Linked DNA regions of Arabidopsis thaliana. The protein of the gene in region 2 purifies or fractionates together with the protein of the main gene of each other region. This does not show direct contact. Each region holds a gene or a part of one and is shown on either strand. Other genes may lie near its edges.

Region 1 (3,556 bases), about 24 Mb from region 2:
AAGCATTCAAATGCCCCATGCTGCAACACAAAAGCAACAAGATTTATGCAAATGAGAGAAGACCAATTTGTCAATCTCAGATGCAAACAACATCAAATTTCAGTTAAGGAAAGGGTGATTTTCTCAAAATTGAAGCTTAATTCAATCGAATCGGAAACATCGAATTCGTAAATTGAAGAAAACGAAGGAGTACCTGGCAAACGGCAGTGACGTTATCGGAACGGAGCTTGGTATTGCCCCACGGAGAGAGATGGAGATCGACGATTGATATGAGATCGTCTTCGAAGAGCTTCGCGAGGTGGTTAACAATGAAGGAAGAGCAGTAGGGACAGAGAGACTCGTAGTACAGGCCCACCGAGACTTTAGGCGACGAAGATGGAAGAGATACCCCAGAATAATCAGATGATGATGCAAAGGGGAAAAGAAAAACGTAGCAGACTAGGACTGGAAGAAGTTTGCTCGGCATCGACGCCATGGATGCAAATGCAAGGTTTTTGTGTCGTCGCCTTCTTCTTCTTCAAAGAACATTCAATAAATATGAAAGAGCCGAGAGAAATTAGATAATTGCTATTCCCAATGGTACCAATTTATTACAGACACGTGTAGCTTCGAAAGCCACGTGTCTCACTTTCATTCTGTAACCGTCAATAGTTCAACACAAAGTAAGCTCAGGCTTTGCAAAATTTGGGTAAACTTGTGAACTCGACTTATCAAAAAGGCTCATTTTAACCAAAATTGTTAACTCCAAAAAAGGTTCAGGATAAAGAGTCAAATAATAAACAAGGTCCATAAACAAAGGCTTGCAGATAATAAACCACTTGATGACGAGTACACACTGCTTTAAATGTTACTCGGATACATAAACACTCGAACTCGAGATCCCTGCAAAAAAACAATCAACCAACTGTATTAGAAGAGCTAGGAAAGAGATAACAACAATTTCAAACATATATAACTGAAATGATTTGGATTACCATTGATTTAGGAGGCAAGTTTGATGTGAATTTGGCTCGAACAACGCCACTGTTACCGTGAGGCCTTGTGACTTTGCCCCAAATGCATCGGTAGTGACTACCGTTCTTCTTGGTCTTGGCTTTGTAGATGTAAGCCATCCTTTTACCTTTGTACCATGACACTTCCTCAGTGGTGTTAACTCCCTCGACTTGGACTAGTGACGTGTTGGGATACTGGTTTGACTTCGACCTGTACATATTTACACACAAAACGTGTTTAAGGACACCATTCTGACAAGATCCAAAACAGAAACAACACTAAATGGTAGATTGTTTTGCTTAAGTGTATACGCTAAAACTTTATTGCCAATTGGTAAACGTAGAGCTCGTGACTATAACAAGCAAAATCAAGATAGTCTCCTTATTTTGTATACCCTATTCCCAAATTCAACAATCTAAGATCGGACGAAGACAAGTGAGTCTACTTTCTCAGGAACTAACTTTTGAATCCTATAAGCAACTAAACTGAGGTCATAAAAAAAGTGTATTAACCAGTATTATCAGCCAAGATTCACTGTTTATGGGAGCTAGAACAAAAACGACTAAAGTGGAAAACAACAACAACAAATCATGTATCAATGCGCACCTTTTGTAGCCAAGTATGGTTCCCCTGACATAGAGTCTGCATCACATAAAAACAAAATTGAGTGAGACAAAAGCTTAATTAAGACTAAAGTTGAGATAATTTGGTACACAGAGATTGAAACACATCCAAAATCCAGCTGAGAAAAGCTAAAAGCGAGATCCATAGAAAGTGTAAAAACGCCAATGATGCCAGCTAATTTCAGGAGCAATGTGAAGCTTTAGCAGATACAGAATTAGAGAACATAGAAGATGAATAACCAACCTGACACGTTCTCCTTGGCGTCCTTTCACCATTTTTGTCGAATCGTCCGGTGGAAGAAATTAGCAGTTGCCTTCAGAAAACGGAGACGAAAACTCAAAAAAACCTAATAAGCGAATCCTTATCAGTCGCGGAGGTAATTAGATGGCAAGTAAACGTCATCGATTTGATATTAATGGGCCTATAAATCTACATATGGGCCGAATGTCAACTCGTCAGGCTATCGGCCCCTTGCTTATGTTGTCCTTAAATGAGTTCTTATAATGCGCCGTCAAAATTAACAATTAAGATGCGCCATAACATAAAATTCAAATCAAAGGGCACATTGAAAATTCGAAACACCGCTCAAATTTCTCTCTGGAAAAAATGTTCAGATTCGATGATCGCTGATCAGACTTATCTCTTTATCAATCGGGTCCAAGACAGAAGGTTCTTCAATCCATCCGAAGCATCTGATTCTCAATTTCTCTTGTGTGTGTGGCTAGAACAGGGTTTCTTCTCACTGATTGTGCAGGTTCGATGAAGAATCTCTTCGGATTCTCGAGTTGTCTCTGGTTGCAATGAATGTGAAATCGTTTTTGGAAGTTAGATCTCGATTGAGAGATTTCATGAGATCTGAATCGGTTGTTATATTCGGTGAGCTCACCGGAGAATCCATGGTCGCAAAACTCTCCGTACTTGAATTCTTCGCTCGTGCTTTTGCTCTTCTCGGTGATATGGAGGTTCGTATACTGTCCTTGTCGATTTTGAATAAATTCGAAATTATCTTTCAGCTTCTTGTTCGATTATGAGTGAAGATTTGCAGATGGATTTGTGCACTTTACTCAACTTTTCTGTAATGTATGTATATATGGTTGTTATATGTTGAGTAGAGTTGTTTGGCTATGAGGTATGAGGCATTGAATTTGCGGCAGCTCAAGTCTCCTAGCTGTTTGTGGTTAGGGGTTTCACATTCAGAATGGACCAAATTTGCAGTCCAATCTATGGAAAATGGATTCCCTTCCATTGCAGGAAAGGTAAATTACTCTTCCTTCTGTAGTATATGATCTCGTTGCTTTTGGGAATGGTTGGAGAAATTCACATAAGAGGAATGGTTAGAGATTCTGTACATGTTTCTTGGAAAGTGAGTTTACTTTGTAATTGTGTTAACAAGTTCATGCTTGTATGATCGGAATTGTTGCTTTACCAATTTATTCAATTTTTTGGATACATAGCAATTTGTTATTTGTTACATTTTTCTGTTCCCACATGGAAGTACAGATCAGATAGGTTCTTTGCTTCTTTTGATTTTGACTTGTTCTTACTATGAGGTATGACATTTTGATGAGTTTTTACGTAGGCGTCTGAAAATGCCCTGTTGAGCCTTAAGAAGGATAGTCTTATTGAACCAAAATCAGAAGATAATTCTGACATTTTGGATGCTGCTGAGAAAGTAAGGAGACTAAGGGATTCAGCTGCCTCGTTAACATCTTCACATTCAGGTATTTTCATTTATATCGTGTCTTCTTTAAAGTTTGCTGTTTGTAACAGACTTCTGACTACATTTTGATTGCTTTCTTCGTCTCTATCTAAAGTATTGGTCTTAAATTACTCGTTTTATTCCCACCGTTCAATGCCTTCAATGTAGTGTGACTGTTATGTATGGGAGAATCCATTGAGTTTGATAGAATCTTGGAAATCTACTGGTTGGAAAGATTGA
Region 2 (3,506 bases):
TGATTGGCTAGTTACATGTCCATAACTTAAATTCCAATTTGACAATGTATCAATGACAAAACCTTATTTCAGATTTCTACTTTTAGTTCGTACTCATGTTTTAATCCAAATGGTGCGACTGATAAATTTGTATCCACACAATACCACCAAAATTGTAAATCCGCGTTTGCAGTAGGATAATAAATATTACAGATTGTTTCGATTTTGGTTTTCTTTTGTGGGTTTGAAATGTTCCATGGTGTAGTGTACAAGTAATGATGATTTGAAAACACAAACTTTATATGAATAACATGTAAACCAAGCTTATCCCAAACATATGCGATATGATAAATATCATACGGTATATCATTTCTCATAGCACGACACTGAGCGTACCATTTGAAAAATTCAACGATTTCTTCAGATCTTGCTTGAAAATAAAGTTTGAATCTCAAAACTCCGTTCAAAATAGAAGAATATCAAAAACACGATGGATACAGTATAATATCCAAACACATTATTTTTTCGTCCAAATCTATGTGACTATGTTGACTCCGTTCAAATCTATGTGACAATCTGTACTATTGGGAAATTTGAAATGCATTTCCGCATATTTACGTAAATACATTACTAAGCAAAATCACATTCTAGCTGTTTCAACGTTACATATAACTAATCAAATGCAACAACACCTTCTCACTTTGATGACAATCGAACATCCAATTAAAAATTCAACAAGAACAATGCATATGTATGGTAGAAACAATCACAACGAGTTAAAAGGATCGTAACGAATGAATCATGACAGACAATTAAACCAGCATACGCAATTATAAGTCTGAATTCGGAATACCAAACATTTATCAAAATCCAACAAAAGGTTCATAAAACTACTAACTTTAAAGAGATCTCGCTCTTTCCAAAATCCAAAAGACAACAAAAGATGATAAAACTCCATAGAAGATTCAAAAACAGAGTTAAGCAAATAAATTCACCTAACTTAAGCAGTAAGCACAACAGCACCACCAGCTTCCTTAATCTTCTTCTCAGCAGTCTTCGAAATAAGCTTCGCCTTCACAACGAACGGCTTGTTCTCAGGCAAATGACCTTTACCCAAAACCTTGAAGAAACCATGTTGAGTCACATCGATCAACGGAACATTGTCCTTGGTTGATTTCGCCTTCACATCTTCAGGGACGAGTGACCAAAGCTTGTCGAGGTTAACGATTGGGCAGAAGAACTTGTTCCTCAGCTTGTGGAAATACCTCATACCAACTTTACCGAAGTAACCTGGATGGTACTTGTCGAAGAGGATCCTGTGGTGATGCATACCTCCAGCGTTACCACGACCTCCGGGATGCTTACGGTGCTTACCGATACGCCCATGTCCGGCGCTGACGTGACCTCTCTTCTTCCTGTTCTTCTTGAATCTGGTTGTCATTTTCGCCGATCTGCTACACTCTCCTCCCTCCCTTTCTCTCTTTGCGGCTAGGGTTTCTTAAGATATCACTGAGTTTATAAAGACGATAAGGATTTTTACGTTTCCTATTTTACCCTCTAGGGTTTACGACATTTTGGGCTATTTAGTTATAACGCGAGATGGGCCTTTAGGCCCGATTATATCGTAGAGGGGGAAGAGAGATCATCTACCACAACCACATGATTGAACCTTCACGCGCCTTTCTGACGCGCCGGTGTTGTTGTTGTTACCATGTGGTTCATGCCTTCGGTGGTGGATCTCCGTGGGTTCCACCTCGGTTTATTTTGGTTGACACGATTCTTCCTTACGTGACGTCTTTCTTCTTCAATTTCGAAACGACGCGTTTTAATTCTTCTTCTGCATTTCATATGAACCAAGGAAAAAGCTTGAAGCGTCGTGACTCGTGAAGCTTCTTCATCTTTAGTCCACCGAACATAAATGGCTCAGCAAGTACTCGGCTGCACGAGCCGCCCCATCCGCGTTTCTCTTCACCGGTGTTCTGTTATTACCACCAGTGACACTATCAGAAGGAAGAATCTCCGATTCGTTAGAAACCCGAGATTGTCGTTTTCTCTTCAATCTTCAACTAGAAATTATCGTCTGCCTTCGATTAATTGCTCGACGGTGAATGGAGCAGTAGCGGAAACTGCGGAATATTACGAAGGAGAAGGAGATAACGTTTCACTTGCTGAGAAAATCCGGCAATGTATTGATTTCCTCCGGACGATTTTACCAGGTGGAAGCTGGTGGAGTTTCTCCGATGAAGTTGATGGTAGGTTCATTGCTAAGCCTGTGACTGTTTGGCGTGCGTTAAGTCGGATGTGGGAACTTGTGGCTGAGGATCGTTGGGTTATCTTCGCTGCGTTTTCCACTCTTATAGTAGCCGCGGTGCGTGGTTCTTCCTTGGTTATGTATTTGTAGAAGTATTCTGAATCTCTACTTAGAAATTCTTAGTTCTAATGAGGAATCAGAATCGTCCTTTTCTTATACATTTTGTTTACTTGTTTACAGCTTTCAGAGATAACTATTCCGCATTTTTTAACAGCTTCGATCTTCTCGGCACAAAGTGGTGATATCGCTGTGTTTCATCGAAATGTCAAGCTCTTGGTTACGTTATGTGTTACTTCAGGCATTTGCAGGTCAAGATCTTGTATGATCAAACACTTGTCTCTGGTTTTATTTGGTTTCAAGTTGAATTAGAGAGTTACTCTTGCTGTCTAACCAACTTGTTGTTTTTGAGATTCTTTTATAAAAGGATTTCCATCTGACTCTTTGTTCAACTCATAATTTCAGTGGCATACGAGGATGCTTCTTTGGGATTGCTAACATGATACTTGTGAGTTCCTTTTTATTTTCTGCTTAAATCTACTCAGTAGTCTTACCTTCTCAGAACATGATATGATGGGATCTCACCCTACTCTGTAGGTGAAACGAATGAGGGAAACACTATACTCCACTCTTCTCTTCCAGGTCCTGAAAGTTTCTAGCTGTTTTGAATCTTGGTAGCTCATGTTTACCTTTAATATCTTTTTAGCTACTTTCGTTAACTTGGCTGGATTTTGCATCAGGATATATCATTTTTCGACTCTCAAACTGTTGGTGACTTAACAAGCAGACTTGGCTCAGACTGTCAGCAAGTCTCGAGGGTCATCGGAAATGATCTGAACATGATATTTCGCAATGTTCTTCAGGTCCTCTGCTACAATATAATTTCCATCTCGCCTGAAGTGTGTTTTTTGCATGGTTGACTTCTGAATGTATGTTTACCTTCTTTCTTTTAGGGTACAGGGGCATTGATTTATTTGCTAATTTTGTCTTGGCCCCTTGGGCTGTGCACATTGGTGATATGCTGTATTTTGGCTGCGGTTATGTTCGTTTATGGGATGTGAGATTCTACCAAAACTTGTCTCACTTTTATTAAGAATACTAATCTGTGAAGATATAATTGATTATACACCTGGCAGCTGAAACTGATACTTAAGCCATCTGGTCATGTTGTAGGTACCAAAAGAAGACAGCGAAGCTAATTCAGGAGATCACAGCTTCT
Region 3 (3,576 bases), 1.3 Mb from region 2:
CTCAATATAAAGTACTTTTCGAAATCATCCTTATAATCAATCTATGAAAAGATTAAGCAACAGAACGGAATCAAATAAGTTCATCGATCAATCGACACAAAACTTGGACCACTGATAAGAATAGCAGTAAGAGAATATTTACGTTTAGAAACAGAGCCGCACGAGTTGCTTGGGAGGTATTCATCGTCGCGAGATATGACCGGAACAGCAAACAAAGTGAAAAGAGGGTTTAGGGTTTTTCTCTGTTACTGTCTTAACGGGACCGAAGCTCCGACTCCGAGAGTACGGCAGTCGACACAGAGTTCTTGTCTGGTCTCTCTTCTCAACGAATCTTAGGTTTGTTGGTACTTTTTTGTTTACATGAGAACAAAATTCTGATTGAAAATTCTAAAGTTGAGCCTAGGTAAGCCCAATAAAGGTCTAATGGGCCTAAGGGCCGATATCACAAATCGAGTTTCAAATGTTTCAGTTTACAACTTCAATCAGCTCTTGTTTTTTGATTATTTTGAGTGATTTTCGATTTTCAGACTTCAACAATTAACATATGCCATGGATGATTCTGAGAATTTAAGTGTTTCTAAGAACTAATTATAAAGTTGTAATAGTGATTTGAGAAAATATGTTACCATTCGTCTGTTTTAATTCGTTATAAAAGGGGAAAAGGGAGTCTAATTTGGGATGAAAAACCGGATCCATGATCAAAGTCAATTTAGAGAATCTCCAAACACTTCAAACAAAGAAAGGAAATGCTTTCAATATCAAAATACAAAATAACAAACTAGTGAACAAAACCAAGGCGGCTAAATTATAAGTTTAAGCCATTTTTGCATTGCTTCATATGTTACTCGGATACATGAAGACTCTCACTCTGCTTCCCTGCAAGAACATAAGGAATAATATCTTGTTAAAAACCCAAGCAAAAGATTTCACTTCTAAACAGAGAAGATGATTATAGAATCTGTTTAAGTACCATGGACTTGGGAGGAAGGTTGGATGTGAATTTGGCACGGACAACACCGCTGTTACCGTGAGGCCTGGTAACCTTTCCCCAGATACAGCGGTAGTGGCTACCGTTCTTCTTTGTCTTAGCCTTGTAGATGTAAGCCATCCTCTTTCCCTTGTACCAGTTTACCTCCTCCTGAGTGTTAACTCCTTCGATCTGGACGAGGGACGTGTTTGGATACTGGTTGGACTTCGACCTGCACACCATAGTAAATGTCAGACCAGAGGAAGTATCAAACAGTAAGGTCTCGGTTTTCAGCATGACAAGGTTATTAAAGCAGAACTCAGTTAACAACAGTGTTGATTAATAGAAATACAAAGCAGCTCAAAAATAAAATGCCAGATAAGTGTCCTAAGAAATGTAGACAACTAACTAATCAAGAGTCAAAATGTTCCCATTTAGTGAAAGCATCAGACACATAATCTGATCATAAGTGGACGAGAAGCTTGGTTATAGGACTCGTTTCTGTCAAATTGGCTTACATAAATACCAATCAACGTTCATTACATGGAATCTTATTGGCGTCCAATCATAAGCTATAAGCAGTGTAAAATGGAAAACGAAAGCGATGAAAGAAATGGGTCACCTTTTGTATCCGAGGATGGTTCCCCTCACGTAGAGTCTGCAAAATTAGATAACATAAAAAGAATCAGACTTTCGCATTATCGATGATTACAAGATTACTAAACCATGAAGAATCAGCTCAAATCTAGACAATAACAATAGTAGCAAAACAGTTTCAGAAGTGAGGAAAACAGAGCAAATCTCAAATGATACACCGATAGAAAACCATCTTGGTGATATAGATCAAACTTGAAGAAGAACGAAAAGAGAAATAGAAGAAGAAAGACCTGACTCGTTCTCCTTGGCGTCCCTTGACCATTTTCGATTCCGCCGAATATCCAAAGGCTGCTGCTGCTACTCGAGGGAGAAAAACGAAGAAGAAGCCCTAATATGGGCTTATGGGCCTTAACACTATTGGGGCATTAGTATATTAAGCATCTTGGGCCATTACTATAATGAATAACATATAAAAATGGGCTTCTCTATTTTTATCTCAAAACAACAACAAAAAAACGATCTCTATGTTGTAGTTCTTGAACAGTTGGCTCTCTTTTCAAGAATCGTCGCCGTTGACCTCCGTGCCTCTCCGATCAACTTCCCATTCTTTTAAATGACGAGAGATTCATCAAGGAACAGCTCATTAAAGCCATGGCCTCGAAAAAAATTTCTTTTTCCTTCTGTTGTGATTGTCATTGTTGGGATAATCGTGGCGTTTACTTATCAGTCCAAGTTGAAACCACCTCCGCCGAAGCTATGTGGCTCCTCCGGTGGTCCACCGATCACAGCGCCGCGGATAAAGCTTCAAGATGGGAGGTATTTGGCTTACAAAGAGCATGGACTTCCAAGAGAGAAAGCTAACCGCAAAATCGTCTTCATCCATGGATCCGATTGTTGTAGACACGATGCCGTTTTCGCCACTCTGCTTTCTCCGGTAAGTTTTACACAATCAAGATTATGCATGTCTATATGCTTCTATCGTTGATTTGATAGATAGTTGTTATGTAATAATACTTTGATCACTATGTTTTAATCATTTATTTAGTTAGTGGCATGTTAATTTGTAGCAAGTAGTGTTGTTAAAAATCCTTGTAGTATAGAGAAGTTTAGTGAGAAAGTTATTTGAGAGTGACGTTTTCGGTTTTTTATTGGGACCTCTAACAGTGTGTCAATACATTTTATAGGATTTAGTAGAGGAACTAGGTGTATATATGGTTTCATTCGACAGACCGGGCTATTGTGAGAGTGATCCGCATCCAAGTCGTACACCGCGAAGCTTGGTTTCGGATATTGAAGAGCTAGCTGATCAGTTGAGTCTAGGATCGAAATTTTATGTGCTCGGGTACTCGATGGGAGGACAAGCAGCATGGGGATGTCTTAAATACATTCCTCATAGGTTAGCCGGAGTAACACTAGTTGCTCCAGTGGTTAACTATTATTGGAAGAACTTACCTTTGAACGTTTCCACTGAAGGTTTTAACTTTCAACAAAAGAGAGATCAATTGGCAGTTCGTGTTGCTCACTATACTCCTTGGCTTATCTATTGGTGGAACACACAAAAATGGTTCCCTGGTTCGAGTATTGCAAACCGAGATCACAGTCTCTTGGCACAGCCGGATAAAGATATCATTTCGAAGCTTGGTTCTTCGAGGAAACCACATTGGGCAGAGGTAAGGCAGCAAGGAATACATGAGAGTATTAACCGTGACATGATCGTTGGTTTTGGGAACTGGGAATTTGGTCCTTTAGACCTCGAGAATCCGTTTTTGAATAAGGAAGGCTCTGTGCATTTGTGGCAAGGAGATGAGGACATGTTAGTACCTGCGAAGCTGCAGCGTTACCTTGCTCATCAGCTTCCATGGGTTCACTATCATGAGGTTCCGAGAAGTGGCCACTTCTTCCACTACACTAAAGGTGTAGTTGATGACATTGTAAAGTCGCTCTTAACCTCCGATGTAAGAGCATCTAGAGTTTGTATTTGATCATTTGTAGCTTCCAAAAACTCTGAAAAA

What was found.
Region 1: the proteins of AT1G70600 (region 2) and AT1G07070 fractionate together in Arabidopsis thaliana (co-fractionation; one large-scale study listed by BioGRID). This does not show direct contact.
Region 3: the proteins of AT1G70600 (region 2) and AT1G74270 fractionate together in Arabidopsis thaliana (co-fractionation; one large-scale study listed by BioGRID). This does not show direct contact.

The regions. Positions count from the first base shown.
Region 1 is NC_003070.9:2,166,988-2,170,543, reverse strand, and holds AT1G07070 (Ribosomal protein L35Ae family protein), read right to left. Parts: upstream 1,984-3,556; 5' UTR 1,893-1,983; coding exon 1,861-1,892; intron 1,636-1,860; coding exon 1,600-1,635; intron 1,204-1,599; coding exon 975-1,203; intron 883-974; coding exon 841-882; 3' UTR 587-840; downstream 1-586. Other genes in the region: AT1G07080 (Thioredoxin superfamily protein), read right to left, coding at 1-20, 194-475; DFO (uncharacterized protein), read left to right, coding at 2,147-2,286, 2,372-2,579, 2,730-2,873, 3,197-3,338.
Region 2 is NC_003070.9:26,620,189-26,623,694, forward strand, and holds AT1G70600 (Ribosomal protein L18e/L15 superfamily protein), read right to left. Parts: upstream 1,592-3,506; 5' UTR 1,421-1,591; coding exon 980-1,420; 3' UTR 633-979; downstream 1-632. Other genes in the region: ABCB26 (transporter associated with antigen processing protein 1), read left to right, coding at 1,898-2,347, 2,471-2,598, 2,753-2,795, 2,885-2,929, 3,028-3,150, 3,241-3,344, 3,461-3,506.
Region 3 is NC_003070.9:27,927,581-27,931,156, forward strand, and holds AT1G74270 (Ribosomal protein L35Ae family protein), read right to left. Parts: upstream 1,958-3,576; 5' UTR 1,887-1,957; coding exon 1,855-1,886; intron 1,626-1,854; coding exon 1,590-1,625; intron 1,200-1,589; coding exon 971-1,199; intron 877-970; coding exon 835-876; 3' UTR 591-834; downstream 1-590. Other genes in the region: PUR4 (purine biosynthesis 4), read right to left, coding at 143-184; AT1G74280 (alpha/beta-Hydrolases superfamily protein), read left to right, coding at 2,178-2,498, 2,749-3,546.